Linked DNA regions of Cricetulus griseus. The protein of the gene in region 2 interacts with the protein of the main gene of each other region in a pairwise test. Links are inferred from orthologs where the notes say so. Each region holds a gene or a part of one and is shown on either strand. Other genes may lie near its edges.

Region 1 (10,648 bases), on a different chromosome or scaffold from region 2:
AGTTAAAAATAGACTTCCCTGTGCCTTCGGGTCACCGCTGGAAAGATCAAACGGGTTCGTAGCACCTGGAAATGGCCAGCGCTCCATAAATAAACCAGGTTGGCTGACATATACTGAGGCTCTGACTGTGGAGTGTGCAGACCCGCCCCCTCCGAGAGTCTTCTAAGCACGATCCAGAAGGGCGGATCTAGGCCCCAGCAGACACAAAGGAGACATCTGGCAGGGGCTGATCACAATGAGCCAGCAGACCCGCACCAACTCACGTCACAGGGGCCTCTCAGAGAGGCAGCCTGGGTCCGGGTCGCCAAGTGAGATTTAACGTCTCCTCTGGGGACTCTTCTCACCATGGGTTTTCAAATGCTGCCGCAAACGGCCCTAAATGCATAAACCTTGAGCCTTTCTGGTCACAGTTCCAGAACCCGACTTTGTCCCTCCCTTCAGGTTCCCAAAGAACGGATCAGGCCACCAGGAAGGCCCCAGTTTGGTTTCGGTTCTTCCTCACTTGGAAGAAATCCTAGAGACTCTAGGGGCAAGCCTTGAGGTGAGCAAAGGCTGTGTGACCCCCATGATCTGCTGTCCCTCTCTGAGCAGAAGTTGGCCCACGTCTGTTTCGAATACGGGGACTGAATCCACAGTCCCTGCTGCGCTCCCCCCTCCCCAGCACCGCAACATACCTGGCTACCCAAGCCGCCTCCTGCCTGCAGCCTGTGCGCCTCCCGCCCACCAGGCTCAAGTAGCCGGTGTTTGCGGTGTTTGCGCAACTTCCGCAACTTCCGGGGCTTGGCAGGTGAACCCGCCGGCCCCGAGTGTTCCAGGAGAGGGAAGGAGGGCCAGGCAGTGGCCGCAATGGTTGACTGACAGCCGGGTGCGGCAGCTTGGCCGGAGCCGCGGCCCTAGTCTCGCCCGACCTGGTTTTTATCCGAGCTGGAGCCTGCACAGCCGGCAGCACGTCAGGTCGCATTGCGCGGGATGCTAGTGGATGTCCATTGCCAGGCACGGGAAAGTGCTCTCCCTTAACATTTAATCTTCCCGTGGTTAAACGGGGCACAGGGAGAACTAGTATGCTCTGGGTAGCCTTCCTATGAGGCAACTTCATTGTCATCCAAGTTGACTAATGGAAACCCCAGACAGGCCAGGCTGAGTCACTTGCCCAAAATCAATGGGGGAGTCCAACCTGGGTACTTTCCCTCCCACCACTCCTTATTGCCACCCTATTCCCCTGTGTGCCAGCAGGTGGCTGGGCCTCAGCCCCATGAATGAGAAGAGTAGGACCTTAGGGGACAGCCTACTGTGAGTGCTCAAGGCCTGAGGTTGCTGGCTATAGCTTTGTGGCAGCTTTAAGGATCAAGAGGGACAGCCACAGTGCAGTGGTATGAGATGGTCCATTTACCCCTTGAAGAGCCAGGCCATGAGGAGGGCGAATATTTCTCTCCTCATGGGGAAACCCATATTTCACAGAGGAGACTGCAACCCTGCTGGTGGTGGGGGTTGTCCCTGGGAGGCCCTGGGAGGGCTCCAACTGTCCCCTCTGCCAGTTCAAGGCTTCTGTCACTTTCCAGGGTATTGTGAGGTCCAGGGAAAGGAGATACCCACCAGGCCTCAGACCCTAGCACTGGCAAAGCAACCCTGCACCCAGGTGGAGGCTGAGTCAGGGCTAGGGTGGGGCAGGGGGAGACAGTAAGTGGTTCCTGTCCACTTTCCTTCCCTTGGAGCATTGAAGCCCCCTCTAGTCCTGTATATTACAGGATGGGGGGCAAGTCACCCACAGTGGCCTGACCAGCTCACTGCCTGACCTGGCTGCGATAACAAAGGAACAGACTTACAGCTGGCCTCAGGCACTAACAGTGGAAACTACAAAGACAGAAGCACTTGTCAAGGAGAAGCCCTGGTCATCCCAGCATATTTCTTTAGAAGCAGAGACGATTCGAAGCTTTTGTTGTTGTTGTTGTTGTTGTCGTTGCTGCCATTGGTGTTTGTTTTAAACAGGGTGTTTGTTTTAAACAGGATGGGTGTTTGTTTTAAACAGGGTCTTGCAGTATCGTCCAGGTCTGGAACTCTCCATTCTCCTTCTGGGATTACATGTATGCACTGCCATGCATATTATATGTGAACTCATTCCATTCTTATACCTGTCTGTGAGGTAGATACTGCTATTGTGTCCATTCCACAGATGAGAAAACTAAGGCATAGAGATCACACAGCCAGCAAATGACAGAACCAGGATTTGAACCCAGGCTTGGATCTGGTAGGGAGAGAGGCCAGAGACAGAAAGTGCCTCCTGGGAAATTCCATAAAAGCCCTCAGCCACCTTGCCTGGGCTCCACAGGAATCTGCCACCTATGGAAACATGTGTTTTGGGCTGCAGCTTCCTCAGCTATAATATGAGATGATAATGACAGTGTTTTCCTAGCAGATCCACACCTCACGACTGCTGGGCTTGACCCTTATACCCTCCCAGGGATAAATTCCAGCCCCCAGCGTGGCCCTCTGGTCTTTACCCAGCTTTGCCACCTCATCCACACTGCCATTCCCAGACCAGCCACAGAATCCTCCTGACTAGTCCTTTACAAAGGTCTTTGCCGCCCCGGGGCCTTTGCACCAGCTGCTCACCGTGTAGAACCCTGTCCCTCGCTGGTCTTCAAGCCTCATTTCAAATGTGACCTCCTCTGCCAGCCCTCCCTTTCTACCCTGGGGGGGTCTCTTCTCCTTAAAGCACCTTTGTCATTTGTTTCCTGGCTGCCCACTGAACTGAGCCACACTACTCTGCTGTCTTTTCTTCTTCCCTGGAACAAATTCGAGGAAACATCACTGACCAAGAGGCTGAAGAAGGCCCAGGCCAGCATCAAGATATACACATCAAACACACACAGCTTTCTGTATGTCAATCACACTCCAATTTCCAAAGGAAGGAAAGAGGGGGAGGGGATGGAGACAAGGAAGGAGGAGGAAGGGAGGGACACAGTACGGAAGGAGCACAGAAATGTCCCTGTGTCTCTAGCACGCCTCCCTCCTAGGAGCAGCTGACAAGATCTTGGTGATCAGCTGACACACTGGTCATTTCCCCTTTGTAGCTAATAATTAGCTGGGGGATGGCAGGGTCCATGAGTGCCAAGTCTCCCCTAGGCCACGTTACTGTTGTCCTTTCCACACTCACTCCCCGGCCATCCTCCCCTCACCCTGTTCCAGCTTGGCCACTTCCAGCCAAGCCTTGTTCTTCCCCCAAAGATGCCAAGTCAAAATCTTCAGGGCTCTGGCCCACCCATACACCTCTGCTGCAGGGAACTTCTCCATACTTGCTTCCCCCACTATAAAACAGGCCCAAGGCGAGACAACTGCCATCAAAATGAAAGCTGTGATGATAGCTGGACATGTAGATCCTCCAAGGCCCAGCTCTGAGGAAGGCCTCCACCATCACACTGCAGGGACAAGAACAGCAGTGTGGTGACAATTGAAAGTTCAGTCACTTGAAGCAGTACCTTCCACAAAGAAGAAAAAGAAGCTGGGCCTGGTGGCACATACCTTAATCTCAGCACTCAGGAGGCTGAGGCAGGAGGGTCATGAAGCCAGCCTAGCCCCACACAGACACATACACAGACACACACATACACACACACACCACACACGCATGCAAAAGCTAGAGAGCCAATGAAGCCAATGAATGTAAAGAAATATGCTCCACATCTCTGGACCATTAAAGAAATGCCAATGAACAGCAACACACAGTGTCACACCCATTAGCGCAAGTCCTATCCAAAACACACATTAAGATATTAAGCGCTGATGAGGAGGTTGGGCTTTAGAACCCTGTGCACAGCTGATAGTGAAAAACCACGTGACAGTTCTTTGTAGGTTAAACGAATGACCAGAGCAGCACCTAGAAATCACACCTCTAAACACTCATCTCAAAGGACTTAGAGTGTGCATGCCAGCAAAAGCCCTCATACTAAATCCCTAGCAGCATTAGTCACCACAGCCAAAAGGTGGGAGTAATCCAAATACCCACCAATGAATGAATGGGTAAAGAAACACAAACCACATATCCAACAGATTATTCAGCCTTTAAAGGGGAGAGGAGACTAACATACTTTACAACATGAATGAAACTTGGAAGACATCGGGCAAAGTGCAATAAGCTGGATACAGCAAGGCATGCTTCTATGTATATAGAGTCAAAACACTGGGAACAAGGTTGAGTAGTGTTTGCCAGGGTGAGTTTGAGAGTGGGAAGTGACTGTTTATTGGGTATGGAGTTTCTGCAAACTTCAAAGTGGTTAGATGGGATCAGATAGGCTTGGGGTAAAAGTGCTTGCCATACAAGCCTGGAGATCTGGGTTCAATCCACCGAACCCACATTGGGAGATAAGAACTACTCCTGTGTGTCCTCTGACTTCCACATGCCTGTTATGTGGAATATGTGTTCATGGAATAAAAGCAGTAAGCCCCTCACTTCATAGGGTGGAGGTACATCGCAACTCAGAATGGTAAAATACGGAGTACATTGCAAGTGGTCTGAGCCCAAGCAGCTGTGTGTTCACTCTTCCCTTTGCTTCCTTTCTTCCCCGAAGAAGGTGGGTTTCTAGGGTTGACCATTTTTACGACATTTTGCACCACCCCACCTGCTCCTCTGTCCTTTCAAAGGAAACCTGGCTCAGGCTTGGTAGACAGGGAGGCCTTTAGTTGCTGCTGAGGAGGATCAAGAAGGCTCCAGGCAGTGGGGTAGAGCCAGCCCAGCTGTCCAGGTCAGAGACACCCGACTGGGCATTCTCCAGGGCAGGCCAGGTTCCAAGCTATTTCTGGAGTTTTCCCCAGGATCATGCCCCAGCCTGCCTATGAGGCAGCCTTGCTCAGAGTGGCTTTGCACGAACCTCAGGGAGAGGGTTATGAGTGGGTGTGGATGCCTAGGACAGTGAGCGTCTTTACGGACCCCCGCCCCCAATATATGCTCCTCCTCTAATTCAAACTTTGGGGACTCAGTTTGCACCCTGACAAAATGGGAGCAAAGGCAGATTTACAGTGGAAGAGGGAGAAGGAAGGGAAAGGCTGGGAAGGTAAGGCTTGAGTTAGACCTGTGGCCACGCCCATTTCCTGTCCTACAGTACCCTGTCTAGGCCTGAGCTCACATGCAGTGTTTATCCCCAGCTCAGAATGTGAAGAAACTTGCCCAAAGTCACACAGCCAGTGACAAATCACAGGCAGAGCAGTGACCTCATAGCTTTCTGGAGATGTAATCACCATGTCTACTTAGTGGCTTCTGAATTAGCTGTCCCACGGTCGAAACTACAAAGTGTGTCGTGTGTGTCATTTTCACTCAGCGCCTTTGCTGGGTAACCCACGTTCCTCTTGGTGCCACATCAGTACTTAAGGAGTTTCCGGTTATTTCTCATCAGCCCCTACTGGCCACTATGCATCTGTCCAGTTCCCGCTTGCAACAAGCCATGGCCGCAATGTAGCACCTGTCATTTTGCCTAAAAATGAGGTAGCTGGATGGGGTGGGAGGGTGCAGAATGCGTGTGTGTGTGTGTGTGTGTGTGTGTGTGTGTGTGTGTGTGTGTGTAACATCCATGCCTGTGCTTGCCAGAGTCTGCCAGAGCTGACATCACCCTACCCTGCTCCACCCCTGGCACAAAACATAGCAAATGGCCAACAGACGTTGGCTTTGATCATCTTGGTTCTGGAAGTTTCGGGCACCCTGACATTTTGTGACTGTGCTAAGCATCTTACCTGTCTGACACATTCAAGTGGAGAAGACAATAAACTGCCTAGTAAGACACCTAGTGTACAATGTGGAACAGACACTACTGAGAAAAACAAGGCGGCCACAGGAAGCCAAACAATGTAGAAAGAACAAATGAGGCAGGGGGTGTAGGCTCAGGAGGTATATGTTCAGTGGGTGTAACACAGTTGGTAGAGTGCTTGCTTAGCACGCACCAAGCCCTGGGTTTCATCCTAAAAATGACAAAAAAACTGGTGTAGTGGGGACCCATGCTTGTCATCAGAGAAGACAGATTCAGGGGGACGTTCAAGACCAGCCTAGTATACATAGTAAGACTGAAGCCAACTTGGGCCACACAAGACCCTCAGGGTAGGAGGAGATGACACATGGACAGACAGGCAAACACAGACTACCCCCAGAGCCAGAATGAGGAGTGGAGGATGAGCAGTTCCCCACAAAAGAGGCCCTCCATCAAATCCAGTTCTTCTCTGAATAGGTAAGACTGTGACTTTGAGCAATGGGCTCAACTTCTCAGAACCTCAGTTTCCCCATCTATGAAAAGAGATCAACAACAGACAGCAACCTGAGCGGGGAACATAGGCAGCCTAAATTATATGCTCCATTTGGGAGGGCCTACCCAGCACCCAACTCTAAAGTCCAGTGACTAGCAACTCTGGCTTAGAGGCTGATCCACCCGCCTCCAACACACAAAGTACACACACACCAAAGTACACACACACACACACACACACACACACACACACACACACACACACACACTACACACCACACACAGGAACAGACTCCCAAGAGGCCCACATGACTTCCAGGGCATTTGGATTTTCTGTCCTCCGGAATCTAGCCTGCCCCCCAGGGAGGCCCTCTGAGAGGGCAGCACTGGGATTCCGGACCATTCAGGCAGAAAAGTTGCCAGAGTCCCTGAGGAACGGAAGGCCATATGTCCTGAAGGGAAACTCCAAAGACAGTTGGGGTAGAGGTAGCCTAGCCCTGAGATCCCATAAGCCACATTCAACAAGCCCCTGAGAGTGACCAGCAGGGGCCCTCTGAACCTCTCAAAGAAAATCTGCCTGGAGTGGAGGCTGCAGGGTGGGACAGGGGAACAGCCGGATCCTCCGCTGGCCCCCTGGGCTGGACACTAGATAGACGTGGACCCTCGGTCAGCCCTCTGTGCTGGCACACTCGCCTCGAATGGTGCGTGGACCTACCCCAGACCCTGTGAGCCCCCTTACCCCCATGCTCACCTGCCGCCTGTGTCTGGAGGGTCCCCCGCGCTTCTCGCGAGCTGCCGAGGCTGACAGCTGGAGCGCTTGGTCCCAGAGCTCTGAGGCGGCCGTCGCGTGTTGAGACAGGCGGGCTCTTCCGAGAGGCAGGCCTTGGCTGTCCTACCGTCCTGCCGGACGAAGGTCCCCAGAGCCCGGAGGAAAGGGAAGTGAGCGAGCGGTCCCCGTCGCTGCAATGGTTCGCCCCGGACTTCCTGATTGGCCCTTCGCTTCCGTTCGAACGGCGCGCCACCCGAGTTGCCAGGCAACCTCAGGAGCAGCAGATGGGAGCGGGGCTGGCCCACGGTGGCCGCCAGGAGCCCAGCTGGCCGCGCGGCCTTCCGGCTGCCCCGGCCCTGCCGGCCAATGCGTTCCCTTTCTTCTTCTTCTCGTCCAGCTGGGATTCCCTCGGTCCCCACCTGCAGGAGTTGCTAGTCCCAGATTTGTTTGGTTTTGCACCGGCCCTAGTCCCATTTTTTTTTTTTTCTTTTTTAGGAAGGGCCTTGACATATAGCTAGCACATACTGGCCTCTCTTCACTTTTTTCTTTTGAGACAGGGTCTCACTAAGTTGCCCAAGCTGACCTTAAATTCACGCTGTGGTCCAAGTAGCCCTCAAACTTGTTATCTGCCTGCCTCAGCGTACCGACGAGTTGGTATTACTTGCCCAGCAGCCAACCTAGGTCCTGCTCCCAACTCTGCAGCTTCCTCTCTGTGTTTTCCAGGATCCCCTCTCCCTCTCCATTACCCTACTGCAATGGTAATTCAGTTAGTTTTCAAACGTGCACACCAGTAATTCCCACAATGCTTATCAAAATCAGGCCAATAGCCGGGCGTTGGTGGCGCACGCCTTTAATCCCAACACTCGGGAGGCAGAGGCAGGAGGATCTCTGTGAGTTCAAGACCAGCCTGGTCTACAAGAGCTAGTTCCAGAACAACCTCCAAAGCCACAGAGAAACCCTGTCTCGAAAAAACCAAAACAGAAAAAAAAAAAAAAATCAGGCCAATTACAGTATATAATATCCATCCTGGGAAGAAGCTAAATTGATCTTTCTACATAAATCTTATCAATACCTACCTTCAACTATCTACATTTTTCTGGTTAGGAATATTATGCAGTAACTTAAAATGATGCAATTAAATAGCATTTTAAAATAATGGAGGAATGCTAGGAAGTGTTGCCGGATTTTTAAATTTTATTTATTTTTAATTTTATATGCATTGATGTTTTGCCTGCATGTATGTCTATATAACTGTTGGATCCCCTGGAACTAGAGTTACAGACAGTTATGAGCTGCCATGTGGGTGCTAGGAACTGAACCTAGGTCCTCTGGAAGAGCAGCCAGTGCTCTCAAACACTAAGCCATCTCTGCAGCCCCATAGTGTTATGTTTTAAGCATGTTTCAAAGCACTCCTTACAGCATGAATAGGTAGTAAATACATAACCATATTATTCATACAAAAAGCATCTCCTATTTACAAAACAGCAGCTAACTCTTTTGCATTTAAATATGCTTCCATTCACTCTTTGAGAATGTCATACATACATACATACATACATACATACAATGTATTTTGATCATATTTGCTCCACTTTCCCCCCCAACTCCTCCTACATCCATCCTCATTCTCTCCTTCCTTTCCTTTTGTTTTTTATAACCCACCAAGTCCAATCTGCTGCCCAACTATTCATGGGTGTAGAGCTATACACTGGGCTGTGATCAAACCACCAAGGGCTGCACCCTTTACAAAGCAACTGACTTTCCTTCCCCAGAAGCCATCAAATGTGAAAAGCTCCTCAGCTAGGAGTGGGGGCTCATAAGCCCCTTCCTGCTCTGTGTTGAAATATTAAGGGCTTGATCTTGTACAGGCAACCCAGCTGCCGTGACCACAGGTGTGGCAGTCCTGGAGTGTCCAGAAGAGTTCTTTCCGACCTCTGGTTCTGACAGTCTTTCTGCTCCCTCTTGATACAGATTTCACGTTTGTGGCTGAACACTCCACAGACACCTATTCTCTGCCCTTCGACCAGTTGTGAATTTCTACTGCCATTCACTATACAAAGAAGCTTCTCTGATGAGGTCTGAAGGCTGTGCTAATTTTATGGGTATAGAGGTATGAATTTAGAAGGCAGTTTGATATTATGTTCATTTAGCAGAATAATGGCTGTAGGTTCACCCTGGGGGCCTGTGAGCTCAACAGCCACGGATCTTGGCCAGATTTGCAATACCAGGCATACATATCCTCCTGTGGAACGCATCTGAAATCCGACCAGAGAGCTGTTGGCTACTCCCATAGCATTTGCACAAGTACTGCACCCATGCTATGCCGGTCACTACTACAGCTCAGAGGACCCATATCTGGGTAAGACTATTGACGTCTTTTCTCTCCCAGCAGCCAACACTGCACTTCCGGCACTATGAAAGCTGGTCTTCAGGGAGAATGCTTCCTAGCAGCATTTAAATTCTTATTCATGCTTTTGTGGATTTTGCAAGTTTCCAACTCTTGAACTGTCAAAGGAAATTTTTTTAATTTTTGTTTGTCTGTGGTGTATTCATACATGTATTCATACATATGTGTACTCAGAGACCAGAAGAGGAATTTGGGTGTTCTACTCTCTCTCTCTCTCTCTCTCTCTCTCTCTCTCTCTCTCTCTCTCTCTCTCTGTAATAGGGTCCCTACATAGTCCTAGCTATCCTGGAGCTCACCATGTAGATCAGGTTAGCCTCAAACTCAGTAACTCTAAACTCCTACCTCTGCCTCTCACTTTATTCTCTTTTAATTTTAGTTCGTGTTTCTACATTTGTTTCTGTGAGTGTGTTCATGTGCATGTGATGTGTGTATGAGCACATGCCACGGTGCACATGTGGAGGGCAGAAGGCAACTTGCTAGAGTCAGTTCCCTTCCACCTTGTAGGTTCTAGGAATCAGAGTCTGGTTCATCAAGCTCAAATCTAAATCTGGTCATCTCACTGGCCCTCTCCAGCTTGTTCTCTTGAGATAAGACATCTTGTTGAACCTGTGACTCAGCTGGTGGCCAGAAAGTGCCTTTGAGCCTCCTGTCTCTGCCCTGCCACAGCCTGGGGTCCCAGGTAGATGGTTACACATAGCTTATGTGAGTTCTGGAGATTTGAAATCAGCTACTCATACAGCAAGTACTCCTGCCCACTGAGGGATTTCCCCAGCTCAAGAAAAATTCATTTAAGGTGCTAGAATAAGTTGAGTTAATTGTAGTTCTCAATTTATGTTTATGTCTGCATTGTTCTACTTGATGCTGGCCTCTGTTCCATTCCAGCCGCTGTCATTGAGTTACTGACAGAGCACTTACTGTGTATATGCCCAGGACAAGCAAATAAGGGGTTAATGATACATCAAGCAATTCAGAAGAGACTTGTGTCAGCAAGGCACAGGGGAGTCTAAGGCTATGTTAATACTCAACACGACAATCTGGTCTTAGAAGCTAATCAGGGTCAGTCCTGGTTGATACTCTGATGGGAGGAAGGTCTGGTGACGCTGTAGGATCAAACACAGATCCAGGACTTCAAACTTCTTATGGGAAATGAAAAAAAAAAAACCACTTCACTGTCTTTTCTACCTAAGGTTAAATTAGACAAAATTCCATTTAAAAAATTACATAGAAGCTACTTGGCAGAAATTCACA
Region 2 (10,822 bases):
TCACTCATGTTCAATGGGAGACCACACTCTGCATTCCTTCAATTTGTGTCTTCCTAATTAAACTGCAAATGCTGATTGCTTCTTCCTCTTGACCGGAAAAGCTTAGATTTTTATCACCAAGTCCCTAGGCTTCTGTTTTTATCAAAACGTTTTTTTTAAAGCCCTGACCCTAAGGACCCGGGCAGACTGGACAACAGAGATAACTTTTAAATAGTTATCTCATTTCCTAATTGACAAAAACTGTCACGGTGTGATGACCTAGCAGGATCTGATGTGTATTACAAAAGTGACAAAGATTCTACACTGCAGTGGCACTAGAGAGTACGAAATCACTCCTTCCTTTGTATGGCAGCCACCAGTCTGTCATCTCTTAGTCTTTAAAATGAAAAACTCTACTTGACCTGTATATGCTTAAGGAGAAATTACAGTAATTGATTTAACACTTGGGGCCGGGCATAACAATTATGGAATACAATTTGGCTATCCAAGGTAACGTGCTAATAATATCACTGTTTACAAAATAATTATGATGGTGGTGGTAGTGGCGGCGGAGGGTGGTGGTGATGTCACTGTTTACTGCCAGGTCATCTCCTAACACACTGGTAAGGATAAGACCGATAGAACATAAGACATGAAAGCTGGAAAGGACCCGGAGGACGCCCTAGTTCAAACTTAGTTGGCAAAAGAGTAAACAAAGTGAGGAACCAGCTTCCCTTTCAGCAGCCATAACAGCCAAACACGTGCTTGCCACAAACCTGCCTTGGTCACTTAGAGGTCAGATGCCTGTCTCGTGACAAGGAACCCATCAGAAGTTAGTCACTAGAAAGTCAGATGCCTGCCTCGTGACAAGGAACCAATCAGAAGTTAGCTGGTGGCGCTATGCTTTACGGCTCTGGGTGTGCTTTACAGACAAGTGCACAGCAATGACGTAGAGAGTATAGCAACCACCCTGGGAGGGCCTATGGGCCATAACAACCAGTTGACCAATCAACACAGGGCAAACCCTCCAAGCCTGGAGGCACACCAATCGTGAGCCTGTGTGTACCCCTAGACACTCCCCTTACGCTGCCCTGTAAGATCTTTCAGGAGCCCCTAGGAGCCGTCTTTTCTGGCCATCCGCCTTGGCGGGTGGATGAAAGACCCTAGCTAACATGGGGTTAGCTCGTTAAATTACAATAAAGCCTCGTGCAGTTTGCAGCAAGCTCTCGAATCCTCCTGGTGATTGGGGTGACCGAGAACGTGGCCTGGGACCCCGGATACTTGAGTTTTCGGGGGTCTAACACCATAATAGAGGGAAACATTTTAGGTTTACAGAGAAATCAGGCACTAGGGAAATGTCTGGAGATCTACAAAGATGACACCAGCTAACAATCTAAGCAACAGAGGAGAGGCTACCTTAAATGACCTCCCCTGATAATGAGATTGACGACTGACTTATATGCTACCCGATAGCCCTCATCCAGCAGCTGGTGGAAGTAGAAGCAGATACCCACAACTTATCACTGAACTGAACTGGAATCCAGATGCAGAGAAGGATGAGTAAATAGCAAAGGGGTCCAGGCCAGGCTGGTGAAACCCACAGAAACAGCTGACCTGAACATCGGGGAACTCTTGCTCCCCAGACTGATAGCTGGAATACCAGCATGGGACTGATCCAGACCCCAGGAACATGGGTTTCAGTGAGGAAACCTCAGAAATCTATGGGACCTCCTGTAGTAGTTCAGTACTTATCCCTAGCATAGGTGTGGACTTTGGGAGTCCATTCCACATAGAGAAATACTCCCTGAGCCAAGACACATGGGGGTGGGCCTAGGCCCTATCCTGAAGGATATGATAGACTCTGATGACACCCTATGGAAGGTCTCACCATCCAGGGGGAGGAGAAAAGGTAGGGTTTTAGTTGGGGGGATAGTTAGGGAGGTCGGGAGGGAGAGGGGAACTGGGATTGTCATGTAAAACAATCTTGTTTCTAAATCAATTTTTTTAAAAAATCTGAGAAAGAAAAAAAAGAATACACAGCCATCAAACTTTCAAACACCAATTTTAAAGGGGTTGCGACTAAACCAGGGGTGGTGATAACAGTCCTGAAACCCCAGGGCTCTGGAGACCGAGGCAAAAGGATTTCAAGTTTGAAGCCTGAGCCACATGGTGAGACCGACCTCAACCAAACAAGGCTGTTTCTACAAAGCACTCTTGGAGGGAATGCTATGTCTTCCCAGGAAAATTCTTTGTTTTTCTGCTGAAACAAAGTCAGTGTCTGTGGATATACCGAAATCTCTACCTGACATGCATGAAAGCTAAGCTATGATCTTCTGGGAGCTTCCAGAAAGGCATTTGCTTTCCTGGGAAGAAGGTTGCTCATTGTTCACCAACCGGTCCTCACTGGCTGAGCCTAAGACTCTGAAATGGCATAAGGCAGCAATAGCTATGATGTGACAATTTTATAAATTAACTATGAAATTGTCCCTCACAAGCTCATGTGTTGAAATGCTTGAATACCAGCCTGGTGCAGTTTGGGGAGGTTGTGAATTGTTTTTAACTTCATTTTTTTTGTTTGTTTTTTTTTTGGGGGGGGGGCGTTGGTTTTGGTTTTGGTTTTTCCAGATAGGGTTTCTCTGTGGTTTTGGAGGCTGTTCTGGAACTCACTTTGTAGACCAGGCTGGCCTTGAACTCACAGAGATCCACTTGCCTCTGCCTCCTGAGTCCTGGGATTAAAGGTGTGTACCACCACTGCCCGAATTAACTTCATTTCTTTTTCTGAGAATTTCATATATGAGTACTGTATTTCCATCATTTTGACCTCCCTCTAACTTCTCCCATGTCCCCTCTCCCCCACTGACTATCAAATTCATGACCTTTTTTAATTATTAGACATACACACACAAACCCAATCCATTTAGTACTGTTCATATGTACATGTATTTAGTGTTGACCACTTGGAATTGGATAACCTATCAACCAGGACCTTGGAAGAGTGATTAGGCCCCCTTACCCACACCTTTAAAGTGAAAAAAAAAAAAAAAGATATAATAATCAGACTGGTCTAAGGTAGTTTGTCGTGGCAGCCTAAGCAGGTTAATACACAGCCATTCTGTAGAGAGGACAGGACATCACTTTCTTCATTCAGCTACCTTATATGAATGCAAGGGCTACCCAGAGAGATACAGAAAGAAAATGCCTGTCTGTATTGGTCTCAGACACATCTGCCATGTAATAGCAGACTGCCAATGACCTACAGACCTATAGACCTACAGTCCATCACAAATAAGAAGTTGTATAACCAGAAGGAAGTGGATTCTGCCAACAACCAGGAACACTGGAGGAGCTCCAAGCTCCATCTAAGAGCCAGCCTGGCTGATGGCCACATTATGGCCTGTGGAACAGGTCCAGCTAAGCCATGCCTGAACTCCACAACTGTGGGAACATAAGATAGCGAAGGGTTTTATGCCACAAAGTGTATGGTCACTAGATACATAGCAAGAAGGCTAACGCATACCTGCTGATGGATTTTCTGTATCCCAGGGTCAGAGAAGGAAGTAAGGCAGGTGACATTCATATGACTCTAAGCCAAGCACGCTCATTGACACCCAGGAGTCCCACTGGACCAGAGAAAAGAAAGACAAGTTATGATATGTGGAACCCTACCACCCTCAAACAAATTTTCTCTCAAGGTTTGATGGAGTAGAACCACAGCATAATTTGAGAAACACTATCAAGCCGACCAAAAATTGGCTTCACCCTCTGTCCTGGCTGTCAATTTGATACAACCTACACTCAACTGGAAAGAGGGAACATCAACTGAGGGACTGCCTGAATCAGATTGGTTGATTAAAGTGAGAGGGCCTAGCCCACTGTGGGTGGTACCATCCCTAGGCAGATGAATGAAGGATGCTATAGAAAGATAGCTAAACATAAACATGAGCCCGAGCCTGAGCCTGGGTCAGAGAGTGAGTCAGCAAGCAGCATTCCTCTCCAGAGTTTATTTGAGCACCTCCCTAGAGTTCCTGCCCTGACTTCACTTACTGACAGTTTGTAACCTGGAAGTGTAAGCCAAATAAATCCTTTCCTTCCCAAGATGATTTTGGCCAGTGTTTTATCACAGCAACGGAAAAGCAAGCCAGTACACCTTGCTATCTTGAAATCTCAGACATCCATCGGCAGGAGGTATCTCTATGCAATAATAAGTATCCTGGGATCATTCTTTTAAAACACGTATGCCTGAGCCCCACCCATGACCCTGCAGTCAAGTCTGTATTCTTATAAAAGACACTCATATCCGGGAACTAGCCACAGCAAAACATCAACCCAAATGCATTCCATAAAGTGAGGTGTCAGACACAGAAAAACAAACACTGCACACCCACTCATACATGTGGAAGCTAAAAACTCCAGGTCACTAGAACAGAAAGTAGAACGATTACCAAGGGACAGGAGTGAGCATCAGGGAAGGACAGGGACGGGGAGGGGGTGGTTGACAGGTACAGTTGCATAGAAGAACTCTGAACATTCAGGAACCCAACAGACACTATGGTTGACATTGGTAATTGAATATGCCAAAACAAAAAACAAAACAAAACAAAAAACCGGATCTGTTTCTGTTTCCATGCTGTGTTGCTGCCATGAGGACCAGCCTTCAGCAGCTCAGGATTTGAGGGGGAGCCATGAAATCGAGCAGACTAATCACACAATTGACTTTTCTATCTGAGGATGTAAAACTTAATTTTGGGGGGCTGGTCATTGGGGCAAACTTAACTCCCTGGGGCTGGCGAAAAAGGAAAACACACACACACACACAAACACACACACACACCCTTTAGAGTCTTTCTATCATATCTCTCTTTTATCTCTTTCTTTTCTTACCTCTATCCAGATGTATCCCTTCTGTGTATTCTTAATTTATATCCCTTACAGCTTATTTGCCCAGTCAGAATCTTTCAAGCAGTATAAAAATTACACTGTGGTGACATTCTATTTTTCAAGTGAACAACTGCAGTGAATACAAGAAAGAAAAAAAAAAAAAAAAAGCATGTTTCCCATTTCCCTTACACGATTATATCATGTATTACAGGTGAAAAACAAATTATCTCCAAAACCCCACACACATTCATGTCCAAGCAACTTCTTATAGATTAAGCATGCAAGATACTTTTCTCAGCCAGTTCTTTTGCTGGCAGGCTGCATTTTTTCAGTTACAAGGAAAAGATCGATTGCTTTATTATTTATCTTAAAAGCAAGAGCTACATCCCAGGAGCTCCCAGAATGACCTGCAGGCTCAGAGTCTCCTTCCACCAGCCTTTGTTACTTCTTAGATAACCTTGGGTAACAGCCTTGGGAATCTTGTAAGTTTCAGGAACTTCACAAGCCTTGTAAGTTTTGTTTACTTCCGGAGTCTGAAGTTGCCTCCCTCCTGACCAAATGTTTGAATTAGGAGGTTATTGGTGTACAACATCCCAATACAAAGACATGATGTCAAAGGTTGTGGGTATGCCATTCCCTTCATGTGACCATGCTGACCTATATGTCTATTAAATGTCATAATATGCACAATTATGTACCAATTATTGTTAAACATCACTTTAAACCCATTCTAGATACAATTGGAATTATGCAATCAAGTGCTCACATTTTCTGTTTATTTTAATCTCTGCACTAGAAAGAGCCCTTCTCCCCTTGAGGTCAGCCCGGATTCCCAGTCCTATCCTGAAGCCATCTCTGCCTCCATGTTCTCTATTGGAGGTTGTTGCCAGCTCTCAGGTCAATGTGCAACCTGTTCATTTTGTCCCAGTGCGGGCACCACGGACCTGCTGCCCTCCCCCTTCGGCTGTGCCCAGCTAATTAATACCTGCTGCTACCAGGCTCCAGGCACAGGTCAATCCCCTCTGCTCCATGTCTTTCTTAGGTTTCTCTTGCTCTTATAAAACCCCATGACCAAAAACAACTTGGGGAAGAAAGGGCTTATTTCAGTTTACACTCCATCAGAAAGGAAAGTCAAGGCAGGAACTAAAGCAGAGGCCACAGAGGAATGATGCTTACTGGCTTGCTCTCCAAGGCTTGCTGGACCAGGGATGACATCACCCGAAATCGGCTTGGCCCTCTCACATCCACCACTAATTAAGAAAACGTAGCTGAAACTTGCCTACTGGCCCTTCCCATGGAAATATTTTCTCATGGAAGTTTCTTCTTTCCAGACTCTGGAGATCTGAAAGGGGACGTGACCTGGAGAAAGGGGAGGTGACCTGGAGAAGCTCTCTGAGACTCAGTTTACCTCTGACAGCTCTACCCTCCCCTGACAAGATGGGGATGTGAAAGACTGCCAAGCATGCCAGAGTATCAATGATGCCTCACTCCACCTGGTGTCACTTGGTCAGGCCTTGGCATTCCCAGCTGTGACCTCTGCTCCCACTACCCTCAACACATACCCGTACACCTCCCTCAGTGCACATGAGTTCCTAGTAACACTTGCTTCAGACATACCTGACTAGTTCGTGCCGAGCCATCGCTCCAGCTCACTAATTTACATCTTGATGGACCTTTGGCTATTCTACTCATCTTTCTTAGTGCAGTGAGATAAATATTTGAAATACAAAAGATGGCATGTATTGACTTTTCAGATTATGAGACCACTCCACAGAGAACATGTTTTCTGTCAGTGATTTAAGGGAGGAGAGGCGCCTAGCATTTTATTTTTGAAAGTGGAGCACTTTCCAGTTAAAATTGCCATTCTAGCAGGGCATTGGTGGCGCATGCCTTTAATCCCAGCACTCGGGAGGCAGAAGCAGGAGGATTTCTGTGAGTTCGAGGCCAGCCTGGTCTCCAGAGCGAGTGCCAGGATAGGCTCCAAAGCTACACAGAGAAACCCTGTCTCGAGAAATAAAAAAATAAAAAATGAAATAAATAAAATAAAAAATAAAATAAAACTGCTATTCTAACCACAGATTATATATGACGTATATAATTCCTTTTGGTCTATTAAAAAAAAAAAAAAAAGGACTGGTCAGGGATACAGCTATGGCTCAGTGGTTAAGAGCACTGGCTGCTCTTGCAGAGGACCTGGGTTTGCTTCCCAGCAACCAAATGGCAGCTCACCACCATCTGTAACTCCAGGTCTAAGGGATATGATGCCCTCTTCTGGCCTCTTCTGGCATTGCATGCATGTGGTGTACAGACATACATTCAGGCAAGCCTTCATACACAATTTAAAACAAAAACAAACAAACAAACAAACAAACAAACAAAAAACTAAAATTACCAGTCATCTTATCGTTTGTCTTTTACAGTTCCCACCTCCATTTCATGTACCTTCCTAATAACGGTGCAAGGAAGAGGATAACTGACAACCGGAACTGAGTCCCTGCTCACCCAGGTCCAACACAGCTGCTGAAGGATGCACCTACATCCCCGCCTCTGTCCTTGTTCGCTGGGCTGCCGCTCTTGTTCAACTATTCTTGGATTCCCAGAAGCCCTGACATAGTCCCATTCATCCCTATTTCTTTGTAATGCAGGAATAAACTATTTGTAGGCAAATTGGCATACTTCACTTCCGAAGTAAAATTATTTCCATTCATCTTCAAAAAAAAAAAAAAAAACCTAGCATTTATGAATAAGTCAACCCTTTATGTTGCATTGTTTTTCTCTGATCTATTTCCTCTCCTCTGAGTCTCCTCAACCCTCCAGCCCCAGGTTCTCTGGAATGCAGTGAGTCATGGGGATCCAGACACTGAAACATCTGTCCTCAGCTCTGGCCCTGGATTGCTCTAGAACCACGGAACTTATTCATCAGTGGGCTTTTTAAAACATCCTCTCACCAAGGATCTAAAATTATTGCTGTCTGCGCAATCACCACTAGCGAAATTTACTTACATCTACTTACCTTCTTCCTGACAGACATCGGCATGGTGATGCGACCCAGGTCCTGTTTAACCTTCATTTAATGCCTTGTGTAGTACCAGGCACATAACAGTAGTCAATGCATGCAATAAATCTACTCGGAGTAAATTGAAAAACTCTGGCTCTGCTAATCTAGGCATAAGTGGGGAGACCAGAGAAGGGGACTTGCTGCTGGGTCAACTGTACATCCACAGCTGGTATCCTAGTTTCTGCTGGCTGTCCTTGCGGATGTCCAGGCAACCTCACAACCAACTACTTTGTCTTCCTATCCCCTTTCACCTTAAACAAGGCTTTAAAGAAATGAGAGACCAGGGAGTTGTAAGCACCCCCAAGGGGGTCACCACCAACACTAAAATGGCTCACGTCAGATTCTCGGTGTGTCAGGACTTGAGTATTCTTATAGTGGTATGAATGTTCAAAATGCTTAGAGAGAAAATCTATAATTCAAATATTTTAAGTCAATATTTAAATATGAATTTCTAGACAGTTAAAATCAATAATTATAAACTATTATGTGTTCATTTTCAATGAGTATCCCCAAACACTGCCTGCCCTCATTTCCTTTCTGTTGTTGTGGTTTAGTGGTCCATCACTGAGAAGTCAAAGCTGGAACTTAAGAATACAGTCCTAGCTAGGGCTGGAGAGATGGCTCAGCGGTTAAGAGCACTGAGTGCTCTTCCAGAGGTCCTCAGCTCAATTCCCAGCAACCACATGGTGGCTCACAACCACCTTGAATGAGATCTGGTGCCCTCTGCTGGCCTGCAGACAGAAGACTGTATACATAATAAAATAAAAATCTTAAAAAAAAAAAAAAACTACACTATATTAAAAAAAAAAAAGAAAAAGAATGCAGTCCTATCACTTCCATAGTCAAGAGCAGAAAAAAAGGAAATCCACTCAAGCCTGATGATGTGTCTACCTGAAATCATCTGGCTTTCTCTTGTCCTGTATAGTTCAAGCACCCCTGCCTAGAGAATGATGCAGCCCAATGGACTGGTTCTTCCTACATCAATTAATAATCAAGAGACCCCCCCCCAATAGGCCCAAAGACCAAAACACCATGTAGGCATTCCTGCAATTGAGACTCAGGTGATTCTACATTGTGTCAAGTTGGAAGTTAAAACTAACCAACACAATGCACTTAAACATGCTAATGGTTACATAGTGTTTCATTACACGGGCATAATAATTTTATTGACCTATATTCATTGTATATAATGGTAGATTTAGTGAACATGTTTTCATTCAAGTATATCATGGTCCTTAATATATTCATTCACCACCACTACAATCCCTTGTGTCATTCTTAATTTTAGTAGAAAACTTGAATGTTTCCCCATTTTATATAACACTAGCTGTAATTTTCTTGTATGTAGTTCTTATTATATTGAGGTATACCTTTTCTATTCCTAGATTCTTTGGAGATTTTATGATGAAGTGATGTTGGACTTTGTCAAAAGCTTTTCTCCATCTATTGATTTGGTCATGTAATAGTCTGTTTATGTGATGTGTTATAGTTACTGATTTCTGTGTATTGAACCATCTTTGCCTCCCAGGAATTAAGCCAACTTGATCATAGTAAATGATCTTTTCCATGTGTTGTTGAATTTGGTTTTGTCAGGATGTTATTGAGAATTTTTGTAACTGTTCACCAGAGATATTGGCCTGCCATTTTCTTTTGTTTTTATCTGGGCCAGAATCGGAGTAATACTGGCTTTGCAAACTGAGCCTGATAGTGATCCTTCCATTTCTATTTTATAGATCAGTTTGAGGAGCACTGGTTCTTCATGAAAAGTCTGGCAGAGCTCTCTGCCTTGGCTCATTCTTCCTTGAAACTCTTGCACTGTAAAGGAACAAGAGAACATGCAGGCTGAAGCCCAAGAGAAGAAAGATGAGGTAGCGGCCAGGGTAAATCAGCCTGTGTACCCACGAAGGCTGAAGAGCAGAAATAAAGGATGCTGGAGGCCAGGGTGCTGGGGGCCAAGATGCTGGAGATCAGGATACTGGAGGAGGCCAGGGTGCTGGGGGCCAGGGTGCTGCTGCAAGCCATAGGACTGCATGCTACTGTCAGGAATAAGTGTCAGCAGAGCAGGAGCTTCACATCTCTCCAGAACACCTCCTGCCTTCCTGAAAACCAAAACAGTCCTGTTGGCCCTCTACCCTCCATCTGGGGCATTCTGGACCAGTTCTGTCCTTACTTGTGACCATATGTAACTTGTATAAAATATCTCTCTCTGTTTCGAGTGAAGAGCAGGAAAAAAATATCTGGTAAAAACCAGCTGCATCCTTCCAGGCCTGAGTGTTTTTTTTTAGTTAGGAGACAATTTTTATCATCTTCATATCATTATTTAATAGATCTGCTTAAGTGGTTTCTATCCTCTTTATTTAATTTTGGTAGGTTGCATGTGTACAGAAATTTACCCATTTCTTTAAAATTTTCTGATTTATGGGACTATAGGTTTTCAAAATATGATCTTCTGAATTTTATTTGTGTATGTTGTAATGTCTCCCTTTAATCAGTAAGTTAATTAATTTGGATCTTCTTTCTCTTTCTTTTGGTCATTTTAGACAGGGCTTATCAGTTTTTCTTTTCTTTTTCTTTCTTTCTTTCTTTCTTTCTTTTTTTTTTTTTTTTTGGTTTTTTGAAACAGGGTTTCTCTGTGGAGACTGGGCTGGCCTAGAACTCACAGAGATCTGCCTGCCTCTGCCTCCCAAGTGCTGGGATTAAAGGTGTGTGCCACCACTACTCGGCCAGTTTATCTTTTCAAAGAACCAACTTTATGATTCATTGATTCTCTGTATTGCTGTGTTCATTTAACCCTTTTCTGGTGTCTATTATTTCTTTCACAGTTCTGATCCCAGGTTTAGCTCAAACTTATTTTTCTAGGACCCTGAGAAGCATCATTAAGTTACTTGTTTGAGTTTATTGTTTATT

Evidence for each region.
Region 1: the proteins of Mtus2 (region 2) and Fam110a interact in binary tests that used the Homo sapiens proteins (3 or more experiments, as listed by UniProt). The link is inferred for Cricetulus griseus from reciprocal best matches to the Homo sapiens genes MTUS2 and FAM110A.

What each region holds. Positions count from the first base shown.
Region 1 is NC_048599.1:28,034,710-28,045,357, reverse strand, and holds the start of Fam110a (protein FAM110A), read right to left. Parts: upstream 7,190-10,648; 5' UTR 6,976-7,189; intron 1-6,975.
Region 2 is NC_048597.1:83,796,362-83,807,183, reverse strand, and holds the start of Mtus2 (microtubule-associated tumor suppressor candidate 2), read right to left. Parts: upstream 5,230-10,822; 5' UTR 4,861-5,229; intron 3,600-4,860; 5' UTR 3,497-3,599; intron 1-3,496. UniProt on the Homo sapiens protein: Binds microtubules. Together with MAPRE1 may target the microtubule depolymerase KIF2C to the plus-end of microtubules. May regulate the dynamics of microtubules at their growing distal tip.